Linked DNA regions of Saccharomyces cerevisiae S288C. The protein of the gene in region 1 binds, or shares a complex with, the protein of each later gene. Each region holds a gene or a part of one and is shown on either strand. Other genes may lie near its edges. The genes, in order: TIM18, TIM12 and TIM54.

Region 1 (5,667 bases):
TATATATTATGATTCAGGATCTTTATTTGGTCTCAATTTTAATATTTTTTTGCAAGGACTCGATTAATCTATCTTTTTCTATCCACCTATTTTCAAGCCACTTTTCTAAACTCTCATCATTGTATGCGAGTAATGGTTGAATTTGATGCTTTTTTACATTTACCATCACAACAATGGGGTCCTTATCCTTTATGTTGTTTTCAGACTCCATTTCTGGTTGAATCATCTCAAAGATTGTCGGAGATATTTGCTCTAATTGATAACCTTTATGAAGTCTCAAATCTCCGTTGGTATGATCATGCCCACTATCAGTATATTTGACTCGGTAATAAATTATGGTGACATCATATATGTATGGATTGATTCGTACCACCTTGGGCTTGCCGCTGCTGATTTCTTCCTTTTTTGTAAGTAAGTATGAATTATCTACGATCATGGGCGGCGTCGTCTTATCGGATACCTTGGAAGACTCCATTTTCATGCTCTTGTGAACTAATTTGTCAAGTTCTCTGTGAAACAGGTATCGGGCCTCTTTGATTATATTGTTACGGTTTTTCTTTCTTTTGATGTTTTTAATTGATGAAAAAGCAGCCATCAAAGTGGTAAAGTTTTTAAATCTTGGGTATAATAAATTATAGAAGTTTATAACAAAGGGAAAATCTTGGTGTAATTTTCTTTGAATAATTGATAGTTCCAAACTCATGATATTGACTTCGGGAAAAATAGTAATAGCTTGATTGTTTTGTCTTTCTAAAATATCTCTTAACTCATTCGATGAGAGTGCGAGTGTTTCATCTTTGAAGAATATGTTCTTTAGTAGATCCAATCGAGGAAAGTTAAACATTTTTCCCCAACCAAGAAATTTTAACTGAGGCCATTCAGCTAGATCTTCCCCCTTCCTCAGCTTTTGTAGAAATTCCCATTTAGTATAAAACTTGGTGGGACAACTTTTGAGAAAAAGGTAATTAATCAATGTGTAGTCATTCACTGATCGATGATTACATATCATTAATGTGGTTTGGAATTTGCTATCTTTAAAAAAGTTTAGGTCATCACTTCCCTCGGTTATGAAAATTTGGACGTTTTTTTTTTTTTCGAAGGTCATTTCAACTAAATGTAGCTGAAACCAAATTTCAATCGCCTCCAGCACCTTGTCTAAAGTTGGTATTATTTTCAGTTTACTATATGTCAGTGCCCTCGAGAGCAGCCGAATTTTGTACTCACCTATTATGGGCACATGCGACCAAAATCTGTCATATAGTAAATGCAGTCTAAGACAGAAGGAATTCGTGTTAATGAACTGTAGGAATTGATTGATTGCAGTAAAAAAAGAATGAAGGTAAAAATAGCCAAAAAGAATAAGCAACCTTGGGGTCAGACTCAACCAATCAGAAATATCTAACTGTTTGAACTGGACCCTAGAACCGACCATATATGTTTCGAAGAAATCAACAAAACCCATCTTAAAGTTATACCTTTCGTTTAGTTTTCTGTGTGGAAAAGAGAAATTTTATTTGATTAAGATTAACAATGAATCTATTATGGTGCATATCTTGCCCTGTTAACTTTCAATTTTTCATTTTGTGTCGCTACATGCCTTGTTGACACTCGGTTTTTTTGAAAAACAAACCATTCTCGCAAAAGATCGGATAAAAATGAAAACTTCCAGACAGTGGAATGCACACATTAATTAACGGTGATGCGAGGTGCAACAACTGAGTAATTTAATACCTTTGGTAATGCTATTGTTTCCTGGCTTGAAGCCTGTTCTTAATGCTTCCACTGTCATTGTAAATCCTGTACGAGCTGTTTTTCCAGGATTAGTACTTTCAACCAAAAGATCCTTTTATAGCATTAATCGTTTAAATGCTGAAAATAAAATAAACGATATTGCAAATACGTCAAAAGAGGCATCCTCTTCAGTGCAGATGTTTAAGCCCCCAGAGTTCTCTCAATTTAAGGACTCTTATCAAAAAGACTATGAGAGAATAGCAAAATATACTTTGATTCCATTAACAATGGTACCTTTTTATGCCTCCTTTACCGGCGGGGTTATAAATCCTTTACTCGATGCGTCTTTATCGTCCATTTTTTTGATATATTTACAGTATGGCTTCACAAGTTGTATTATTGACTATATACCGAAGGAAAAGTATCCAAGATGGCATAAGCTCGCCCTTTATTGCCTCTATGGAGGATCCATGTTGTCCCTGTACGGTATCTACGAATTGGAAACGAAAAATAATGGTTTTGTTGACCTGGTAAAGAAACTTTGGAATGAAAATGATGACCATTTGTATATATTTGGAAGAAACTGACTCACCCATACTTTTTCTTTTTTTTTGCATTTCTAAGATTTCATTTTTAGAGTCAGATTCCCCATGAACTTAACTTAGGAGAGATTTTATAAAAAGACAAATAAGCAATAAAATATATCCTTCTTCTCGAAATCCAGATATATATGTATATATCGATCTGCTTGGATTGGTACAAGACGATCAATTCTTGTCGAGTGAAACGCCTAGGGATACAGAAAGGAAAAGTAGGAATTCGTGATTGCTAGTATTCTCATTCTGTCTAAAGTGCCTTTTTTATTATTATCTGTATGCTTTTTGTTTCTTTAATGATGAGGAACGAATTTTTATACTACAAAAAAATAATGTTTACAATTTTTATCAATGTATTGAAACATTTTAATATTTGTTAGGATTCGCCTTTATTTCACAATCAAAAGGAAACACATAAAAAAAGTGTCATGCTCTACGTGAATAAAGAATTAGTGAAATAATAATAAGGCAATCAGAATACAACTATCGCACTATCTGCGAAACTTTTTACTATATGGGTATAAATGCTAAACGGAAAACTTGTCCATAAAACTATGATTCTTATAATAAACGATGATACACGTTCATTCATTTTTTATCGACGCTCAAATATAGGGTGGAACTGTTTAGTCAGCACCCCATGTATATATATAAAAGAGACTTCAGTTTCTGCCCTTTTTTCCTGTAGGAGTGACCGCTCTACTCACCGCTCTTCTATTTTTCATAGTATTAACAAGTTCTTTTCTGTCATGTAAAATTCGATGAACGTAATCATGTTGGCCTTTCGCGATCAATATTCTCAATATAATATTCATTACTTCTGCATCACGTTCCAGTTGTTCCTTAGGCTCTTTTACAATGTTAGCTACTAGCGACTTTTTTCGAGATATTGTTCCAGCGGATTTATTCGTAAAAGTAATCGGAGTTTTCTTCAGATAAAACCATCTCAAATACTCTTCATATAGGGGAATCAATCGCTGAACTTCATCCTTCAATTCGGAGACACTTTTATCATAAAAAGCTGGGATCAGCAATATATTTTGGTAATACTCATTTTTCAATTCTGCAAGAGGGGGACCTTCTCCTTTATTATGAAAAAAATCTACACACAGCGCATCAAGCCATTTGAATACAGCCTCGATTTCCGCTTGAGTCAAAGGACGACCGTATCCTGATACCGTTTTTGTGGTTGAAAGAGTATTTTCCCACAAAGATTTCTTTGCTGAACGCAATATATTAACTTTAGCGCTATTCAATGCAGGTAGAAGAAGTAAATCAGCGTTCTCTAAAACGAGGTTCCACGCTCTTAGCATTACCATAAACAACAATCTCTGTGAAAGTTCTGATGCCAGAATGTTCAAATTTGCGTTTAAATAGTCAAATAGTGGTAAAATTGCGTCATATACTGCTTCGTCAGACGCAAGTGCAGAACCATGGTGACCACACACTGTTTTTAATGTGGTTCTCGAGAAGGCAAATGCAATAAAATCAGAAAATTTGTTGACTATTAGGTTTATTGCACGATCTCTTGACCTGCTAAAAGATCTATATATTCTTCCCATAGAAGAAACGGCATCTATTTTCTCACTTTCCAGGGATATTTGGCAATATAAAGTTCCCTGCGGATTCAATGTGAGCGAAAAATCGATAGGAAACCCATCATCCTTGAGCTTTCTCGGAGTGAATTTCATATTGGCTTTTCCACATAGATCATCTTCCGCTAAATTCTTTAATCTGCTGTGTGGGTGGTGCCATATAGTAAACATAATATCGTTCGACTTTCCGAATGGAGACTCAAACACAAACTCTTCGTCCCATTTGGGAGTAATCGATCTTGCAACAATCTTAGTAGTACCTATTTCCCGTTGTAAAGTGATGTTTCTCATGGAAACGTAGGTGTTTGAAAGCCCCGTTTTGCTGAAGCCTTTAATATTTTCAGCACCGATAATTCGAAGGGTATAAACTTGCTTCATATTCTGGTCATCGAATGACTTCCCATTATCCTCTAAATTATGGGAGGAGTGGTACTGTGCAATAACAGAGGATATTTTTGATGGATCTGCTTTTTCTTCGAAGCTCTCTAACAGAAAAAGTGTTTTATCAAGATCATTTAGCAGTACGCACGTACGCTTCTTGAACTGATATGGAGCAGGAGCTACCATCTTCGGAGTTGATTTAACTACATTTTTCAAATCTTCAAACAGCCTACTACTTCTTGATTTTTCATGATTTACGTTAGCGTTATTCAGGCTAAGTGAAGATCGAGTGTCTGAGCTTTCTAAAGAGTAGGATGGTTCATCACCCTCCTGTAAATCTCTCTGGATCAATTCCATTAGTTGAGCTGAGTATGAAAGCATACCATCTGAAAACGCCTTTAATATTACCGTGATCATTTGTGCCAGTTGAAATTCATTTTGCCAACCAAATTTCTCCAACATGCTAGTTGATTCATTTATCATTTTGAATATGTCCAAAACTGATCTACTGAAATGGTCCTGGTCATTTACGGGTTGCCAATTCTCGCTTTCTAGTGAAGATTTAATAACTTTTTGAACATTACGGCTCACATCATCACATAATCGAGTCAAATATTTGATGAAATAATTTTCAAGGTTAAAGAAAAATTTCCCTTTTGGCTTTACCTGCAGGTAAATCTGTCTCAGTTCTTTCAGTACATCATACATATCTAGCGCATCTATTGGACCCAACTTTTGTCCAGTCATTTTCATGGTACTCTTTTCAGCGGTTTTTATTAGATTTAAAGAATCCGAACCGTATACTTCACATAGAAATACTGCGCATTGTCTAGGCAGAGATATTTCGTCCAATAAAGGTTTATTGTAACGTTTTTGAATCGCTTTTATGGCTTCTATAATTGTTTCTACGAGATTCTGAACGTTTTGAATTTCTATTGCGTTAGCCTTTAGCATATCCTGCAGAAGGGAGACAAAATAATCCTCTGATGCTTTAAAAAGAGTCTTCTTAAATAATTTGATCCAGTATTTCTTTACAGCTACGGACTGCGTTTCATAGAATTCCATTACTGGATCCCCAACAATGTTTGAATAATAAAATGACAAAACTGGAGAAAATTTTGGCTTTGTACCTGAAAATATCGCAGTTAAAAGGTTATTTATTGTCCTCATAGACTGATCAGTCGTATGAAAAAGGTTTGCAGCCCATAAATAGCGATCCTGAGCATTCCAAGCGGATGGATCCAGATTATCCTCTGAACATAAATATTTATTGCGGATGACAGAAAACAAGTTTTCAGTTATTGGGATATTTAGCTCTTCATCTCCTAGAACACTTAAATTTGCTGCTGAATAAACCAACGAGG
Region 2 (4,904 bases), on another chromosome or scaffold:
ACAGAACAGCAGTCCTTTAGAGGATACTACAGTAGAAAGCTAGAGTCCTGACTTACAACTTGAGCATGCCGTTATGGGCGGCTATTTCATTTCACCTGAACCGTATTAAAATATCATCTTCCTTGCTGCTACAACCTTCATTGTAGCCGGTTTATAAGATTACCATCATTGTCTACCCCTCTTTAACTTCTCCCGAAAAGCAGAGTTGCCCTTAGCTGTATCCTGTTCTAGCTGTGCTAAACTGTACGTTCTTATTAAGCCCATCCTCGTCCGCTGGGCTCACCCAGCGCCTTACATACTTTGCGAAAAAGTCGTTTTTCTGCTTGGTGTTAGGAGCTGTCTCCCATAGTGTAAACTCCCAGTATTGCCTCAACCTCACTTGCTGTACTTTATAGTTGCCGCGCCACCTAAAAAAAAAAACAAAAAAGACACCACCTAAAAAAACGGGTGAGGGGAATGCACGTGACCCAGGTGCGGGTACCATATAAATGTACTTCTAAAATTGTCTACACAGCTTATAATGCTATATATGCAGGTTACTATTATATACAAACAGCACAGACAGTCCTCATATTTACAGCTATTTTTTGGAATCATCAGCTATTTCTTTGGCCACAAATCGCGAATAATGTCGTAGCTGATTCTCTGGCCCGAAACCTCGTGTTTGTACAAATCCTCCAATGAGGCGATTGCTGTAATGCATCTTTGCCACACATCTGTCTATGCAGCATTGCTCACCTTTCGTTAGATCAGGCTCACCAAAGCCCTCATGCGGAATACATTTCTCAAGACACGTACTGAGAATATTGTTGAAAGTCGAGCACATCGCATCGAATTGCACTCCTGCAACGTCTAGCTTCTCTTGCGAGACCTCCTGGTTGCCCCTTAGACTATTTAAAAAGAACGACATCCTTTTCTTGGTGCACTTTAATATTATACGGGAGCTCCGATATCTATTTCAGCAATATAGACTACAATCAACTTTGCTGTTCTTACTTTTTAGTTAACTTTTTTCTTTTCATTCTGCCGCTAATCTACAAACTCGTTACCCTACTAGTACATAAAAGAAGATCAGAATCGATGGGTATTTATTTATATTTGCAATATTATTTATTTATACAATTTATTGTTTTAATAGGGTATCGTTGTAGTGAGTAGTATTCCAGTCCCAGTAGAAGGTCAATTCGGTGACGTTACTGACACTGCTGACGTTACAGACCTTTAGGAAGTCAGTACCAGCTACTCTCTTTTCAGCATAGTCGTAGAAATCATTGATTTCACAAGAGAACCCTGGGCCGGTGGAACAGGTTTCAATTGGAACGACAGCATCGTTAATGACGTATCTGACGTAGGTGTCGTTAGAACATTGGAATTTTTCGGTGTAGACACGAGCACCTTGAGGAACGTACCAGGACTTATGGAAGGTGTTGCCCATGAATGGAACGTATTCGGCAGTTAAGTTGTTTTTGTCGTCAATTATACCAGCGGTGGTCAAATAGTTTAGGATATCGGTATCGTGGGTAAAACTCAACCAGACTTTTAAGTCTTGAGTTTCACTTTGCTTTAACAACTTCAAAGTAGCGTTAAACAAGTTGGCACCGACGGATCTGATCATATCATAACCTGGTCCATCCTGGTAAAACGATACCAGGTCCTGGCCGTATGAGTAACGTACCAATTCATCTTCGGTGAAGATATCACAAACATCACTGTAGCCTCTAGCGTTCAATTCGTATGCACACCATGCAAACAAAGTGTTGGCGTCCTTTGAGGTCAAATTCAAACCCTTGTTTTCTTTGTTTAATCTCTTGGCAATGTCATCCAAGTATGTGGTATCGTATTTGTCCAAAATGTCATCGTTAGCATCTTCATCCCATCCTGGGCACGCATTACCAGCACTCAAAGTGTTTGCGCCGGCGGACATGGCTTCACTGACAGTCTGCAAGGAGATGTTGAATTGGTCACCTAAACCATCAATGAAATATTGAGCAGTGTCATGAACCCTTTCAGAACTAGCGGCGAAAATTGGGAAACTGGTTTGATTTTCGAACATGTAGCCATATTGCGCTAAAAACTCACGAGCATGTCTCTTAGCATCCATCTCACCAGTGTATGGATTCAAAACATTGTCTGAGTTGGCAAAAGTGGTTTCCATTTCCAAATCATCGTCATCACGGATGAAAAACTCGTAATCATCGTTCAAGAATGACAATGAGCCGTTGAATTGACGTGTGTAATTGCTCAACTTATACCATGTTTTCATGATGGTAGCACCTTTACTGTAAGTTGGGTATCTTTCACCATGTCTGGCAAGCATTTGCAATTGTTTCATTTCACAACCTTCAGGCAAGTCACGAGAAATACCATAGTCGCCAGGGAAAGAGAAGTATGGCCCGGCACCACCCAGGAATGGGAATATGTCTTCCTGAGTGCCAATTTTGGCAACATCGGCTAACTCTCCGAGGGGAATTGTACCTGCATTAACTAAAGCAGCGGCTAGAACCGAATAAACAACAGACTTAAACATAGGTAATTTGGAATGGCCCTTTCTTTACTGTAGTATTTTTTTTATGATAATCAAGGCATAATTGACTTCCATCCAGCAAATTTAAGCACTTATATATGTTGCATAGGACTACTCAAAGCTGTTTACTATTTCCCAAACTGGTATTATTTAGTAAATTTCTTTTGAATTTTTTTTTTTTCACTCTTCCTTTTTTTCATTTTTGCGATGCCAGTTCTTTGAGTTTCCCTTATACGGCATATGCACTTAAGGTTTGATTTTGCTAATTAAAGGCGTGCCTAAGCGGCGACTAATACTGTAATATAATATGGGTTCCTGACTGACTACAGGGATTGAAACATCCATTTACCTGTTTCGGATATCTCTGCAGATTTTAATCTTTCGGCAAAATTTAGATAAAAAATTTGGGTATTCGTATTTAGTTTCCAATATTATTTAGTTATACAAAACTATTGTCTCAATAGACTGGCGTTGTAATGAGTAGTGTTCCAGTCCCAGTAGAAGGTCAATTCAGTAGAGTTACTGACGCTGCTGACGTTACAGACCTTTAGGAAGTCAGTACCGGCTACTCTCTTTTCAGCATAGTCGTAGAAGTCATTGATTTCACAAGAGAACCCTGGACCAGTGGAACAGGTTTCAATTGGAACAACAGCATCGTTAATGACGTATCTGACGTAGGTGTCGTTAGAACATTGGAATTTTTCGGTGTAGACACGAGCACCTTGAGGAACGTACCAGGATCTGTGGAAAGTGTTGCCCATGAATGGAACGTATTCGGCAGTTAAGTTGTTTTTGTCGTCAATTATACCAGCGGTGGTCAAAAAGTTTAGGATATCGGTATCGTGGGTAAAACTCAACCAAACCTTTTGGTCTTGAATCTCACTTTGCTTTAATAATTTGACTGAGGCATTGAACAAGTTGGAACCGACAGACTTGATAATGTCGTAACCTGGACCCTCATGGTAATAAGTGTGCAAGTCTTGGTAGTAGGAGTAATGGACTAATTCATCCTTGGTGAAAATATCACAGACATCACTGTAACCTTTAGCGTTCACTTCAAATGCACACCACGAGAATAAAGTACTAGCGTCAGTTGAGGTCAAGTTCAAACCCTTGTTTTCCTTGTTCAATCTCTTGGCAATGTCATCCAAGTAGGTTGTGTCGTATTCATTTACAATGTCATCATTGGCATCGTAGTCCCAAGCAGGACATGAGTTACAAGCACTCAAAGTGTTGGCACCAGCGGATTCAGCTTCACTGACAGTCTGCAAGGTGATGTTGAATTGGTCACCTAAACCATCAATGAAATATTGAGCAGTGTCATGACATCTCTTAGAATTAGAGGTAAAAACGGCGAAACTGGTTTGGTTTTCGACCATGTAACCGTATTGAGCCAAGAAGTCACGAGCATGTCTCTTGGCGTTCATTTCACCAGTGTATGGGTTCAAAACATCGTCCGAGTTGGCAAAAGTGGTTTCCATTTCCAAATCATCGTCATCACGGATGAAAAACTCGTAATCATCGTTCAAGAATGACAATGAGCCGTTGAATTGACGAGTGTAATTGCTCAACTTATACCATGTACTCTTGATAGTCTTAGCCAGACTGACAGTAGGGTATCTTTCACCATGTCTACCAACCATTTGCAGTTGCTTCATTTCACAACCTTCAGGCAAATCACGAGAAATACCATAGTCGCCAGGGAAAGAGTAGTATGGTCCGGCACCACCCAAAAATGGGAAGATATCTTTTTGGGTACCAATCTTGTCGACATCGGCTAGTTTGCCTAAGGGAATGGTACCTGCATTGGCCAAAGAAGCGGCTAAAATTGAATAAACAACAGATTTAAACATTGGTAATCTCGAATTTGCTTGCTCTATTTGTTGTTGTTCTTATTCTCATGAGAGATGAAGCCATACTAACCTCGACTTAGCAAAACATCAGCGCTTATATACGTTTCATTTCGACAATTCAAAGATGTTTACCCTTATCCCAAATGGGTATATGCCTTGCCAAGTAAGGTGACCAATTTGATAATTTGGCATGTGCGATCTCTTCGAAAACAGGGACCAGAATCATAAATTTAGTCTGTGCTAGTCCCACGTGTGAGTGCCAAGGTTGTATCGATTCATTTAGAGATTGCCTATTCAATTAACTCTTTTAATCACTTTTACTTTTTTTGGCATTGTGCAGTTGCGTTCTATGCGAAAACGTGCTAATTTAATATATATTTCTTTGTGCAGACAAAGAAAAAGCGCTATGAACCTTTTACCTTCGTTTGAAGTTTATAGACGACGTCCGCTTACATGAGAAAACATTAAAGCAGCGCACATAAGATGACTTCCAAATACGTTGACATATTTGCGCATTCTTGTTGAAT
Region 3 (6,534 bases), on another chromosome or scaffold:
AGGAAGATGATGTGCTAGAGGTAACTTTTTTAGAAGATGAATTACCGCTCCCATGAGATTTTAACATATCAATGGATCCAATAACGGACACTTTTATGCCCAAGTGGTCTACCTTTTTACTATCCCGAACTCTCAAAGTAACAATTCCACCAAGGGATTCGCCATCTTCATAGACGGGCAAGCTTTCCTTCATTGATTTGTAACTGGAATTACTTGATCTTGTTGCAATGTCTACGTGTTTGCGAGATTCCTCATTATCGAAAAGGATCTCAATATCAATCGGCGGCTTGAAAAAAATACTCATAATGCTAATAATAGTTGTGCTTGGATTCTTTTACAATGTACACATTTTATTATATTTACAGATTTTATATATATGTATATGTGTGCATATATAAAAACTATTTCAACATGAGTAAAGGGAAATCTTCGAAAAGGGTTTGGTATATGTCAGACATAACGTCGATCGTGCATGATGATAAAACATAATATATATCCAATTAAATATCTGATTCTGGCTCTTCCTTGGGTGGTTTTTCGTAAACAAACATATGCTTCGTGATTCTAGGATCACATACTAATTCTTGGGTCCATTCGCTGTTCTTTTCTTTACCCTGTTTGACCCAGTTCTGTGGCCAATCTTTTTCTTCGTCCTTCGCCAAATCAATATCCTTTGCAATATCAAACGGTCTTATACGGGTTTGTCGAACACAGTTAACTACACTTGAACACACGTCCTCTACGTAGAAACGCTTCTGGTAAAAACGATGTATTCTCCTTGGAATGGTAGTAAAACCTATCAAGTTAGGTATTGGAATGACCAATAACGGCTGATTAATCAGAAGCGGGATATTTGTATTGGGGTTTCTTATGAATTCGCCATTTGGAGTTTGTAATTCCGAAGCGATTTGCAGGTCAGGGTATTGGTCTGAAGAAATAAATGGCTTCAAAAATTTTTGCGAATCCTCTGAGCTGTTTTCTTCATCAACCTTTAGATCATCTTGTACTTTGGCCTCTTCCAAAGCAGTCTCTTTCTCGGCATCCACCAGTTCCGTAGCACCGGATTCACTTACCTTTGATTCTATTTGATTTGCTTCTACAACCCCAGTCATCTTAGGCTCAGTGGATCCTGTTTTTTCGGTCTTCTCGATGGGTCCAAGCAAGCCTTCGTGAATACCGGCAATGTACTCCTTATAGGCGCCTCTACCTAAACAAATAACACCACCAGATAATATAGGGTCCTTTGTCAGGGCGTCTTCACTTATTATATGCTTCGGTTTTGGCATTGTATAGAAGATACCTATAACGTTTCTCCAGTCGAAGTTCTCCTTGAACTTTTTACCGATTTCTGGATCAAACGAGTCATCTTCTTCAGCAGGATCTTGAATGATTTTATTGAACGGTAGTAGTGATGAAATTTTACTGGTTGAAGAACCACTTGGTTTTGCTACCGTTTGGTTAGGCTCTTTAACTGGCTGCCCATCCGTCGATGCCAATATTTCCTTTCTCAATTCTCTGATTCTGTTGGCTACATTAGTTCTAATAATCCCTTGCCTATCCTCTTGAACTAATTCATAGTCCAACCCTGCATAATACAGTACAGGCTTAACATATCGTCTCCAAACTTTCAACGAACTCTCCAGATAATCATTTGGAGGAGGTGCAATAAAAACAGTGATCTTTCGTGGCACTTTGTCTACCTCCATGGACTCCTCTGCCAAAGGCTTCACCAAGTCTGTTGCATGGCTCAGAATCTGACGTTGCTTGTATTTGTCATAGGCTATGCCACCGATGGATACTGTTAACACAGACCAAAAGATCATCCAGTTTCGAGAAGGCAGCCTCAAGGCGGGTATACCAAGGGCTTTTAAAGCCGGATTGGTATAGCCAGGCTTCCTAATAGGCTTAGCAATAGGCTTTCCTGATTCAGAAGACATGGTCTATTGAGCTTCTTTTGAGAACAATGGACTTTAAAGCTATGATGTCTTTGCCATCAGTACTATTTTTTCCAGCCTTCGGGCTTAGAAAGACAGCTCCTAAAAATTTGGATTTTTCACCACATTATCTATACAGATCGTTTAAACTAGATACATGACTTACGTTTCTATTATTTAGCACAATCCTCGTGAGCGTGACCTTCGTCGCTCCAATTCAAATTGAAACGGCCCTCTGGAACGACGTACTTCTCTATTTTATCAACAACTTCCTGCGGAGTGGAGGCAACTTGAATGATTTCACCATTCTTCACACTGATGAACCGTTCTTGAATAGAGTGTTTGAGGAACTCCAATAATTTGTCATAGAACCCATCGATATTGAACAAGATAATTGGTTTATTATGAATCCCCAGTTGCGACCACGTGATACATTCCATGATTTCTTCAAAAGTCCCGTATCCACCAGGCATAGCAACAAACGCGTCACTCAAATTTGCCATCATTCTTTTTCTCGTATGCATATCTGGTACAATCGTTGTTTCCCCATACTCTTCAGAAATAGGAGTGGCGCCCTTATGATTTTCTACAGACTCCAACAATGCTTTATTAACATCTTCTTTATCCTCGTCTGTCCTTTCCTTAGACACAAGTGCATTTGGAATGATACCGTGAACCTGTCCGCTTAAATCAGGTCCCATCGTAGACCTTGCTATCTTGCCCATCAAACCAGTAGTGCCTCCACCGTATACCAATTTCCATCCCAGCTTATGGAAAAGGGCTCCTAATTCTTCTGCACTTTCTGAGTATAGCGCCTTAGCGCCAAATGAAGACCCGCAGTAAACACACACAGACTTGCCGCCTACTTGGCCACCACGGCTGCTATTACCTCCATTTTTTTCCATTGTCATCGCCGTTTCTTAGTACTGGATTGCCTGCGATTTACTCTAGGGATCTTCCTATTCAACTGTTGGAAATAATTCTCCTTCCTTAAACGCCCAAAACATGATTATATATCACTGCAGACGGAGTAGTTGACAGCAGTCATCTACCCTAAAGGTCATGATGAAACGTGCTTGGCAATATAAGATGCAACTGCAGTCACTGTGAATATAGGCCAGCGGCGAGACGGAAGCATTACACTTTTACTTTTTATGTGTTACGGTTTTTTAAATAGAAGAAGGATAGGAACTAATGGATGCGTTGACTCCCAGGGACTCCCCCAAGCGCGATGACTCGATGGCCACGAGTGCGGCCACTGCTGCTTCTGCCAAGCCTGATGCTCTGACGATAGGTAAAGAAGGCATTGTCCACGGGCACATCCATAACTACAACAACCTGACCTATATCCATGGTCACCTTCACCACAGCGCGCCTGTGAACGACAGTAGTGCTTCGGCAACACCTGCAGCCGCAGCTGTTGCTGATGCCGCTACTTCCGCATTTGCATCTGGAGCTAGCCATGATATGGGTGGTGATTGCCACGTCAATGAGAAATGCAAGGAGTACACCGACTGCCAACATTTCGAGTTCTTGAATTATCACAATAATCCGTCATTAACAAAATATAATGATACTGCAACGTATAATTCTAATAATCATTCTTTTGCAAACAATTTCCATTCGGTAGCTTCTGATCCGACAAGTCCCCAACAGAATTCTAAAAGCGACCTACCACGTAGAAAAGATTCTTGGTTTAACGACGATCTGATACTGCTGCCCTCTTCCAAGAAAAATAAACCGAACCCACCACCTGGATCCGATGATTGTTATTGTACGCCCAAGATTTTGGAAATATGTTGTGACGAAACTCATCCCAAAAGTGAGGCTAATATAAAACAAGGTGAATCTGATCAACCGACAAAGAAAGACATATCTGAGAACGGCAATGATGTTGCAATATTCACAGATGTAAAGAACGATCACTTGATGCCAAATTTTAACCTTCATGATCAGTACTGTAATAGTACCAATCACGACTCTCACAATCACAATAATACTGTACCAGATAGCTTTTCTCAGCTGATGTCTCACTTATCGGAGATTGATTGCGATTTGACCTGTGACACCCCATGCACGGCTAGCACGAGCGCGACTAGTGGTCACAAGTTTGTTCAAGATCATCAATCATCAAATAATGATGACGTTTTCCATAAATACTGCAAATTTTGTGAGGAGAGCACTGATAATCAACCTTGTTCTAAGCATATGCATTTAGAGTCAAAGCCACCTCAACTACCACCCAAATGTTCATCTTTACGAAAACCTACAAACACTTTGCAAGGTACAAATCATGCTTATCACGAACATATCTTAAATACTGATATGGATTTGAAGATTTTGGAAGATTTATGCAATATTTCTTCTTTGTATGAAGTACCGTTTGGAAAACACATTAACCACCACGACCACAATAATGCCGGTAACGGCTGCGATGGTTCGAGCACAGGAAATAATGAAAACGGTAACCAAACAATGAATCTTCTATTATCAAGCATTAATAGATGCAACCCTAAAAATAATCTTAATGGAAGCAATAACAATACGGCTGGAGCAACTTCAACTGATCATCAACACCATCACCATAGAATACAGTTTCATTCTCACAAACCAAATAGAAACAATATTGTGAACAATTCAGGGATTAGCGCGGCGAACACAACAGCCGATCTAACTAACAACGATTTAAATGACTTAATTTCAAGAGAGTATAGTTATGAAAGATTTAGAAATCAAAGTGAGCCCCCTTCGCTACCCAAAGTCACTCATCAGAATCAGAAAAATCGTAGATCTTGGCCTACAAAAGATCTAGAATCTACTGATTTCAGCTCTTTGGAAGACTCATTACCTTCTAGCATCTCTCCTCCTATACAGACAACAAGCACTATAAATTTCAACTGGTGTTTTAAAGAAGAGAAAAACAATGACTTAAAATGCAAATGGAAAGAATGTCCTGAGTCTTGTAGCTCACTATTTGACCTACAAAGACATCTTTTGAAGGATCATGTCTCTCAAGATTTCAAACACCCTATGGAACCATTAGCTTGTAATTGGGAGGACTGTGATTTCCTTGGAGATGATACATGTTCCATAGTGAACCATATTAATTGTCAACATGGTATCAATTTTGATATTCAATTTGCCAACCCAGACTCATTTTTGCCTGGTAGTATATCAAAGGAAAAACATCACTTACTACATTGCCCCAACCCACAAACACACGAAGTTTCTAAAGCAGATGGAGCACCTGATATGACGTCTGCAAATGATGTTTCCAATATACCGCCAATCAAGCAGCCGGAACAGGTGATTTGCCAATGGGATGGTTGCAATAAGTCATTTTCCAGTGCTCAGGAATTAAACGACCATTTAGAAGCAGTACATTTAACCCGGGGTAAGTCTGAATACCAATGCTTGTGGCATGACTGCCATCGTACGTTCCCCCAAAGACAAAAATTAATCCGTCATTTAAAAGTGCATTCGAAATACAAACCTTATAAGTGCAAGACATGTAAAAGGTGTTTTTCAAGCGAAGAAACTTTAGTTCAGCATACCAGGACACACTCTGGCGAAAAACCTTACAAATGTCACATTTGTAATAAAAAATTCGCGATTTCAAGTTCTTTGAAGATTCATATAAGAACCCATACTGGTGAAAAACCTTTACAATGCAAGATTTGTGGTAAGAGATTCAACGAATCGTCAAATTTGAGCAAACATATTAAGACCCATCAGAAAAAATACAAGTGCTCTGACTGTTCCAAAAGCTTTGACGATTTGGGAAAATTGAACTCACAGAAAGTGAAATGCGCATTGGAAAGAAAACCATATTTATAAATGTGATCATCATGGTCCAACGTAAGAAGGGCGGTTTTCAGGATCACATAAATGCATAATTAGAAACATTTCATATTTTACCTAGACTACTTTTTATTTATAATTTTTCGCAAACTCTTTTTTGTAAGCTTTTACAGTACACTTTTTTTACGTAATAACGTATTTCAAGCTTTATTTTTTGTATACGTTTCAGAAAAGGGGGTGGGGGGGAAGGACATTGTATATATAGATCCTATGAGTGACAACTAGGTAACCGAAGAAACACTATTAGATATATAGTTTGAGGGATAGCATAAGTAGAACTTAGAAATGAGTTTAGTACCATATGAAGAAGGTTCGCTGATTTTAGATGATCCTAATTCTAAATCAGTGGTGGTTGTTAATCCAACCTCAGGAACTTTATCATTTTTCCAACAGGACAACAGTAATAATGACTCTGAACTAAATGAAGACCAGACTGCATCTTTATCAGCACTGGACTTTCCTTCAGGGATTCATCAATACAAAAGCCCTATTGCTTCCTATGTGTGCCCGCAATGTGGTACGGAAATTAACCCTGATATTATAAACAGAAGACAACTTCATCGTCGAGCCTCTGCTGGAGTAGAATCAGAAAGCAGTAGGCTCAGTATTCCAGAGAACACTGTGCCACTTGGATTTGAATTTGCCAATTCAAGCTTTTCAAGAAGATATTTTCAGTCATTGGAAAGAAATCATCGGCACTACGCCCTACAAAACGATAGTAACAATAAGCAGGGACAGT

The links.
Region 2: TIM18 (region 1) and TIM12 share a complex: the UniProt entries of both Saccharomyces cerevisiae proteins name them as parts of the TIM22 complex.
Region 3: TIM18 (region 1) and TIM54 share a complex: the UniProt entries of both Saccharomyces cerevisiae proteins name them as parts of the TIM22 complex.

Annotation. Positions count from the first base shown.
Region 1 is NC_001147.6:871,394-877,060, reverse strand, and holds TIM18 (Tim18p), read left to right. Parts: upstream 1-1,739; coding exon 1,740-2,318; downstream 2,319-5,667. Other genes in the region: MUM3 (Mum3p), read right to left, coding at 23-1,462; YOR296W (uncharacterized protein), read right to left, coding at 2,990-5,667. UniProt on the Saccharomyces cerevisiae protein: Component of the TIM22 complex, a complex that mediates the import and insertion of multi-pass transmembrane proteins into the mitochondrial inner membrane.
Region 2 is NC_001134.8:426,575-431,478, forward strand, and holds TIM12 (Tim12p), read right to left. Parts: upstream 911-4,904; coding exon 581-910; downstream 1-580. Other genes in the region: YBR090C (uncharacterized protein), read right to left, coding at 300-484; acid phosphatase PHO3, read right to left, coding at 1,124-2,527; acid phosphatase PHO5, read right to left, coding at 2,974-4,377. UniProt on the Saccharomyces cerevisiae protein: Essential component of the TIM22 complex, a complex that mediates the import and insertion of multi-pass transmembrane proteins into the mitochondrial inner membrane.
Region 3 is NC_001142.9:329,668-336,201, reverse strand, and holds TIM54 (Tim22-complex subunit TIM54), read right to left. Parts: upstream 1,938-6,534; coding exon 501-1,937; downstream 1-500. Other genes in the region: retromer subunit PEP8, read right to left, coding at 1-304; LOG1 (Log1p), read right to left, coding at 2,108-2,845; ZAP1 (Zap1p), read left to right, coding at 3,129-5,771; protein kinase IKS1, read left to right, coding at 6,081-6,534. UniProt on the Saccharomyces cerevisiae protein: Essential component of the TIM22 complex, a complex that mediates the import and insertion of multi-pass transmembrane proteins into the mitochondrial inner membrane.